Linked DNA regions of Oryzias latipes. The protein of the gene in region 1 binds, or shares a complex with, the protein of each later gene. Links are inferred from orthologs where the notes say so. Each region holds a gene or a part of one and is shown on either strand. Other genes may lie near its edges.

Region 1 (3,500 bases):
TTTTCCATGACAGGAGAAGGAGTATTAAAAATGAAACATCATTAAAAAAAAAAAAACGCAATTTGAGTTATAGGAAAGAGTAATTCTTTGTGTATCCTGCTGTAGTTTCATCATGACTCAACGTTTGTTAGCAAAACTTGTTTGCTAACTAGACCAACGGTAAAACCCGAAACACTGGTATGGTCTAAAAACAGTTAGACAAACAATTCGAAAAACCTTTCACTAAGCTGTGCAGCCGCCTGCAGTATCTAAAGAATCAACACAGCAAATTTTCCCTAAACTAAATAAAGATAAAGCTCAGTGATTTGTTATAAATCACACTTCCAGTCTCTCTGGAGTTTTCCAATGAAATTGGAGAATGTTGAATGGTGCAGATTTTTTTGTTTTTTTAATTGTATTAAATTGCACTATTCCTATAGCTTTACAAAAACCTCTTGAGATGTGTATTTTAATCTTTTAACATCTTTAGACCCAAGCTAATATTTGAGCTAACCTTTTACAGATGTAGTCATTTAAACTGGTTAAGCAGAATTAAATACTGTGGTAATCTAACCTAAAATGTGACGTCCCTGCATGTGGACACCAGGTCTTGAGAGGATTAGCATCAGCAGCAGATCTGTCGTTGAATATTGCTGTGGATTTTGCTTTGTGGGAATGTACAGCTGTGACGTGTCAGGCGAACTCTCTGCAGTGAGCGGGGTCAAAAGTGAGCCGAGCGAGGTCCGATGCGACTACTTGGAGGCCGTGTCACCGGAGAGGCCTGCCGATGAGGCCTACTCAGACGCCGAACAAGAAGAGGCGGAGGACGAGGAAGAAGAGGAGGAGCAAGAAGAGGAAGAAGACACACGGACAGAGGGGAGCGCTCCAGAGGAAGAAGAGGAAGAGGAGGATGAAGAAGATGAGGGTGAGGACGAGGAAGAGGAGATGGAGGAAGGTAGGGTGTTGTTACATGAGAGTGGGATAGCCCACAATCCCAAATGGACACTCAGCCCGAAGCTGAACCCCTCGATGCCACAAAGTCTGCTCTACTTTTCAATGTTGATGCCACAGGAGGGAGGGGGGAGGCTGTAGGAACAGGGTCCATTTGGGACTGAGTAACGGCACGAGTGTTTGCACAGACATGCTGCATCTGTCTGCAACTGCTTGATGCTGCACTCGGTGAAACTCTGAAGGCTTTCAATGAACTTTTATGTGCCACCATATGGAGGGTCCTAACGCCTTCTCACAGCTGTGACTGACTGCGCTGAAGTCATATCATGCATGCCTAACTAACTCCGCATGCTTGGCTTAAAACTGCCATGAAAGAAAAGGTTTGTGGGTCAATAGTTAGTTACAGGGATTTGGGAGCTGTCTTTTACTTCCTCATGTGAACTAATTTTTCCTCACTCATGTATTAAGTTTTTAAGCATTTTTTTGGTCAAACTTTCTTTCTATTGAATAAAATTTGTGAAATCTCTGTACTTTCAGGTGATGATGGTTATGAGCAGATTTCCAGTGATGAAGATGACCTGGATAATGGAAGCTTCAAGCTGCCCACCTTTGACATGGACTACACTCCTGAGGATCTAGCCTCTGTGCCACCTGTCCAATATGATCCGTACGAGCGAGAACTTAGGCCGCTTGCTTACTTCACTCCACCATACAAGACTCATTTTGAGATCCAGTTTGAGAAGGCCAGCACAGAGGAACCCAGAGATGCTGGTGGAACAGAAGGAGGAGCAGGTGGAGAGGAGGCGGAGGCTGTTGCTCATCTAAAAGAACTACTGGCCGATATTGGCGAGGACAGAGATGCTCGCTGGGTCACTGCTCTGGAAGAAGCACCTGGACTACTCAACAAAGGGCTGGCTTATTTAATTAAACAAGAACAAGGAGATGCTGAGGAGCCTCTGAAAGCTTTAGTCCAGTGGGCTCTCCAAGCTTTAGATTTGGAGATTGCTCTCACCCAACCCATTGCCCTGAATCTCAGACAGTTAAAAGCAGGTGCGAAGCTGGTATCCTGCCTGGCAGGGTGTCCGCACGGCCTCACCATATTGCTGCGGGAAGGCACCCTGAAAGTGCTGCTGGAGCTGCTCCATGCAGACCACGTGTCCTCCACACTGAAGCTGAGTATCCTGAGAACTTTAGATGGTCTCATCAGCTGTCCTGCTGGGGTGGAGGCCTTCCTGCACGCAGGGGATTCAGAAAAGAGCGGCTATCAGGTTAGCAACACACTGCAGATAGCTTTTAAGTTTTGTTTCTCATCATTTTTTTGTTTCTCATTTACACAGTCGTATATTAATTAAGTTTCAAACAGATATTTTAAGATTTTGCTAAAGTTAGAAAACTCAAACATACTCAAATATATATTAGTAATTCAGAGTAACGTTGTTTTAAAGATCTCAGACAGGCAGCTGTAAAACTGAAGAAGCTACTCGAATGAACAGCAAAACGTCCCCTGATGAGCCTTTAAAGTCCACTCAGAAGTCATGGGATAACTCTGCAAGAGTCTTCCCAGGTGTATTAGGAAATTTTAACAATCTGTCGTCGCTCTGATGTGCTTCACAGCGTCTAGTCCAGCTGTTCTTGCGTGAGGAAACAGTTCGGGTCATAACAGCTGGCAATGCCGTGTTGCAAAAAAGCCACGTGTACGAGGTGCTCGTCGACCTGCAACAGTCAGCAGCAGCTTGGAGTGAAACTCAACAGGTGCCAGCACTCATTCACACCACTCGTTTATGCACATTTAGTGCCCTCTCTTCTTTTGTAGTCATTGTGCAGGGTTATATCTTTCAGGAGGACATGGAAGATGCTGAATGCCCTATGGAAGAGGAAACTCCGCTGGGCTCCTCCCCTGTGAGCGAGGCTGAGCTTGATAGGATAGCAGGCGTTCTGGAGGAGCTTCATCACCTGCTGGAATCTGCTTCTCACTCCATGGTTCAACCGCCTGGGAAAGCTTTCCCAACTTCTGCCAGAATAACAGGACCACCAGAGAGGGATAACCCATACCCAACACTGTATAGGTACAAAGCTGACCACAAAATCTGCACTGCAACGCTTCTGACTCTTGTTTGAAGTAGTTGATTACAGTCATTTTTTTCTTCCCTGTCAGGTACATGCATGCCTGTCATTTCCTGGAAAGCACAACATTGGTTTTGTCAGCGGCTGCTGTAGCAGGTCATGTTGGTGTCACTCAGGCCGTTAAAGAGCTCCTACGCTTCCTGTCACTCACCCAGTCAGGCCTACTTTTCCTTCTTGCCCAGCCATCTCCAACCAACCTGCTGCTGCGTCTCCTGGCATCTGTGGCAGAATCAGAAGGAGAGGACAGCACAGGAGGGGAAGGGGCCCTCACAGGGCCAGGGTTTGGGGAGGAGGGGTTTTGCATGTGGCTGATGCAGGCGCTGCATTCTCTGCAAGGTGTGTCAGAACTTATGAGCCACGTGGCCGCTGGAGGAGAAGGTGGCGCAGGACTCGATGAAGGAGACAATTCAGAAGTTCTCGGCATGCTTCACGCACTTTACCTGATG
Region 2 (3,980 bases), on another chromosome or scaffold:
TTTTATGTATTTCTTTAACTTTATTGTTTATTCAAAATGTATCTGGCAGTAACCATGCTTTTTTTCCAATTGATATAATTTAAAATATGGTTCCAATAAATTTCTCCTTTAGGTGTTATGCTTCTTTTTTCGCTAAAAGTATTATGTGTTTGTTGTTGCAATTTTTTGATTGAAAATATCAATACCATTAAGTGTTAAAGGAGGGTGTATTTCAGATTCCTCGTGATATTTAAGGTTAGAAGTCAGTAGTTGAATTACTCCTGAGACAAGAGCTTTCATTACACTCTTGAATTCTTTGCTTGTTACTGGAAAACACATTTTATTGAAGAACCTGTCATAATCGATGGCTGCCATTCTCATCAAAAAGATCAAATTTTTGATGGTTATATCATCATTGTTCCAAGTTATACTTTTGTTTGGTGAGAAATAATGTGCATAGCATAACGTCCAGGCACGACAAAACTTGCAGATACAAATTTTAAAGATTGACAGGAGTCTTTCTGATATTTACATTTAAAAAGAAATTGAAGACCCCCGATTTTATTATAAAATATTAAATGGGATAAAGTACCAAATTGATTTTGAGTCTTAAAGGCCTTTTTGAATCCAGTAACCATTAAATGTATAATTCAAATCTGAGAAATGTAGGAGTTCATAACCTCCTTTGCATGAGGGGGCATAAAATAGTTCTTTCTGAAGATAGTGACGTCTATTTTTCCATACAAAGTTAACTAAGAGGTTGTTTATTTCTTTGGAAGTTGAACAGAAGTAAAGATAAGGATAGATTAGGAGAAATTTCTCTTGAGATACCTTTCGCTTTAGCCAAGAGGATCCCGCCAAAAATAGATAGATCTATTTGAAGCCACATATTCATGACATCTTGCATTTTTTCTAATTCTCAAGGAGAAGTTTTGTGTTTGTCTAGATTTTCTGTCCATTGTTATACTGGTGCCTAAATATGTAACTACATTTTTAACAGGGATACCATGTTTTTCTTTAACCATTTTAACCTTTGTGCTATCCTAGGCACTTTAACATTGGGAGTTGGGTCATCTAGACCCACTAGACAGTGCTCTGAACCTTTTTTCTTCAATGATTTGTGATCTTCACTGGTGTCCATGGATTACATGAAATCTTTCCACCTTTATCCACCTTTGTCATGGTAGGAAGAACACGTCAATGCAAGGGTGGGGTCATAGGTTAGCACGAGGGTTAACTTTTTAATAATATTTGACATTTAACTAAACTAAGACGTAATCTCTATTGACGTAATCCAGAAGCGTTTGAAAAATAATTAATTATACTTGTATCAAGGTCAATGTGGTTTCTGTCTATTAAGAATAATGCAGTATCATCTGCTTGCTGTGTTATTTTGATTTCCTTTGAAAAATGGATAAACCTAATAAACAAGGACAATTTGGTATGCAGGAGTTTTCAAATCAAAACGTGCAACGTGCTTGCGTCACTACAGGCTCCGCCCTCCTTTGGGAACGCGCACATTCCTATTGTCCAAGATGGCGGCGCTGGTGCAGCTCTTGTGATGCTGACATGTTTTTAAAGGCTTCTCCTCTTTTCCCCGTAAATGTGTGACCACTCGGAGCCCGCTCTGGAAGCGCCCCCTAACCGAAGCAGCCTGCGCCGCCGCCGTCTCCGAGCTAACGCTCCCGGAATCCGCAGCAGCGCCGGATCTCCGCTGCAGGCTCGGAAAAAAAGTTGAAACTCTCCATCATTATTGGAAAATGAAGCGGCAGGCCGTGAGAGACGGCAGCCCATCCAGGGCCCTAGCCAAGCGGATTCGAGAGAGAGAACGGGAGAGCGCCCGCAGAGAGGAGCTGCCGCCGCCGCCGCCGCTGGCTCTGCTGCTGGCGGAGAGCCGGAGCTACCACCGGCGGAGCCGCAGCAGGGAGCGGGAGAAGCCGCGCCTTCGGGAGGAGCGCGCGGCCGCGCTGGAGCTCCACCACCGACACGAGCTCAGCCTCCTGGGCCGGCCGCCGCTGCGGGCCGCGGAGCTCCCCGCCGCGAGACCCGGCACGCTGGAGTACAAAACGCTGCTCATCAGCAACCTGGGCTCGCAGGTGTCGGACGAGGACGTCGAGGACGCGCTGTTCCACGAATTCAAAAAGTTCGGGGACGTGAGCGTGAAGCTGTCGCACACGCCGGAGCTCGGCCGCATCGCCTACGTCAATTTCAGACAGCCGGAGGACGCCAAGGAGGCCCGGCACGCCAAGTCCTCCCGGCTGGCTCTGGGTGATAGACAGCTCAAAATAGAGCCCATGTACGTTAGGAGGCGGAGCGTCACCCCCCCGGACGTCAGCTATCTACCTTTACACGCCCCCTATCCGTACAGACAGCGCTCCTTGTCCCCACCCGGGACCGGCGTGAGCAGCATGCGGGACCTCCGGGCCAGACACTTTGCGCTGGAGAGCCTGGGTCTGAGCAGAGACCGGGAAAGGCTGCTGGACTATTATGGTATGCTGGATGAGAGGGGGCGGCCCTACGCGTTCCCCCCCATGCCTGTAGTGGAGGACCTGAAGCCCGAGGATGACCAGAGGGCCACCAGCAACCTGTTCATCGGAAACCTGGACGGGAATGTGACGGAGGCTGAACTCAGGAGAGGGTTTGATAAATACGGCATCATTGAGGACGTGGTCATCAAACGGCCAGCACGCGGCCAGGGCGGGGCTTATGCCTTTGTAAAGTTTCAGAACCTTGACATGGCCCACAGGGCCAAAGTGGCCATGCAGGGCCGTCTTATTGGTGGAAACCCAATTAAAATCGGATACGGCAAAGCCAACCCCACCACCCGACTGTGGGTGGGCGGTCTGGGACCAGGAAACTCGCTGACCGCTCTGGCGCGGGAATTTGACCGCTTTGGAAGCATTAGGAACATTGACTATGTGAAGGGCGACAGCTTTGCTTACATCCAGTATGAAAGTTTGGATGCAGCCCAGGCCGCCTGTACCCAGATGAGGGGCTTTCCTCTGGGCGGGCCAGAGCGCCGCCTCAGGGTGGACTTTGCTAAAGTGGAGGAGAGCCCCTCCCGCCCATTTCCCCCTGGTTACCAGCTTCCTGTGCCTCCCCCCACGCATTATGACCTCCTTGGAGAGGCCTACAGTCGCCATCGCAGCCTGGAGCGCGAGCTGAGAGGAACCAGGGAGCGCTCCTCACCGCCCTCCCACAGCCTCCTCTCTTTGAGAGAGAGGGTCCTGCTGGAGAGAGAGTTTCCCAGCAGCCCCACCCGAAGCCTGGACAGGAGGGTGGGAGGAGTGGAGGCGTTTGGAAGAGCTGGCCGAGGGGCGAGGAGCCGCAGCAGGAGCAGGGAACGCTGGCTGAAGGAGAGGGAGGAGAGGAGGAGCCGCAGGAGAAGCAGAAGTCTGTCTGTCGACAAGCAGTCGGAGGAAAAGGAGAAAGAAAAGGGAAGGTCGAGGGTTCGAGTTCCGGGAGGCACCGCCTCCCCTGATGCAAGCCCAGACCGAGCACGGGTTCGAGCCCCGGACTCCACCACTGAGCCAAGAGACCACTCCCCTGACAGTGGTGGAGGGGGGCGACACGCAAATGCCACAGAGGAAGAGCCCCCATCCAGCCGTCACCACAGCAAGAGGTCCGCGAGCGTCAACAACCACCATCGAAACAGCGACGTGGCCGCCGCCAGCCCCCCCGCTGCCCACACGGACACCTCGTCCACCCTGAGCTCGCTGTCGGAGTACGCCCAGGGCTCCCTCACCAAGGTGTGGCAGGGCTTCTTTGCCTTGAAGAACAGCAGCTTCCCCACGGAGCTGTACATGCTGGAGGGAGGGGCCTCCTTCCTGAGCGGCGTTTTGAAGGACAGCCTGAATCTGCAGAACCGGAACCAGCCAAGCCAGTTGAAAATTGCCCAGCGCCTGCGCATGGACCAGACCCGGCTGGACGAGGTGTCGCGCCGCATCAAGCTCGGCCGCCCTGACGGCTTTGCCATCCTGCTGGCTCTGCAGGGCGCCATC

The links. Proteins that work in one complex are often made in the same cells at the same time.
Region 2: virma (region 1) and rbm15b share a complex: the UniProt entries of both Homo sapiens proteins name them as parts of the WMM complex. The link is inferred for Oryzias latipes from reciprocal best matches to the Homo sapiens genes VIRMA and RBM15B.

The regions. Positions count from the first base shown.
Region 1 is NC_019874.2:17,767,021-17,770,520, reverse strand, and holds part of virma (protein virilizer homolog), read left to right. Parts: intron 1-691; coding exon 692-934; intron 935-1,467; coding exon 1,468-2,198; intron 2,199-2,544; coding exon 2,545-2,682; intron 2,683-2,769; coding exon 2,770-2,996; intron 2,997-3,085; coding exon 3,086-3,500. UniProt on the Homo sapiens protein: Associated component of the WMM complex, a complex that mediates N6-methyladenosine (m6A) methylation of RNAs, a modification that plays a role in the efficiency of mRNA splicing and RNA processing.
Region 2 is NC_019863.2:6,227,526-6,231,505, forward strand, and holds the start of rbm15b (putative RNA-binding protein 15B), read left to right. Parts: upstream 1-1,180; 5' UTR 1,181-1,739; coding exon 1,740-3,980. UniProt on the Homo sapiens protein: RNA-binding protein that acts as a key regulator of N6-methyladenosine (m6A) methylation of RNAs, thereby regulating different processes, such as alternative splicing of mRNAs and X chromosome inactivation mediated by Xist RNA.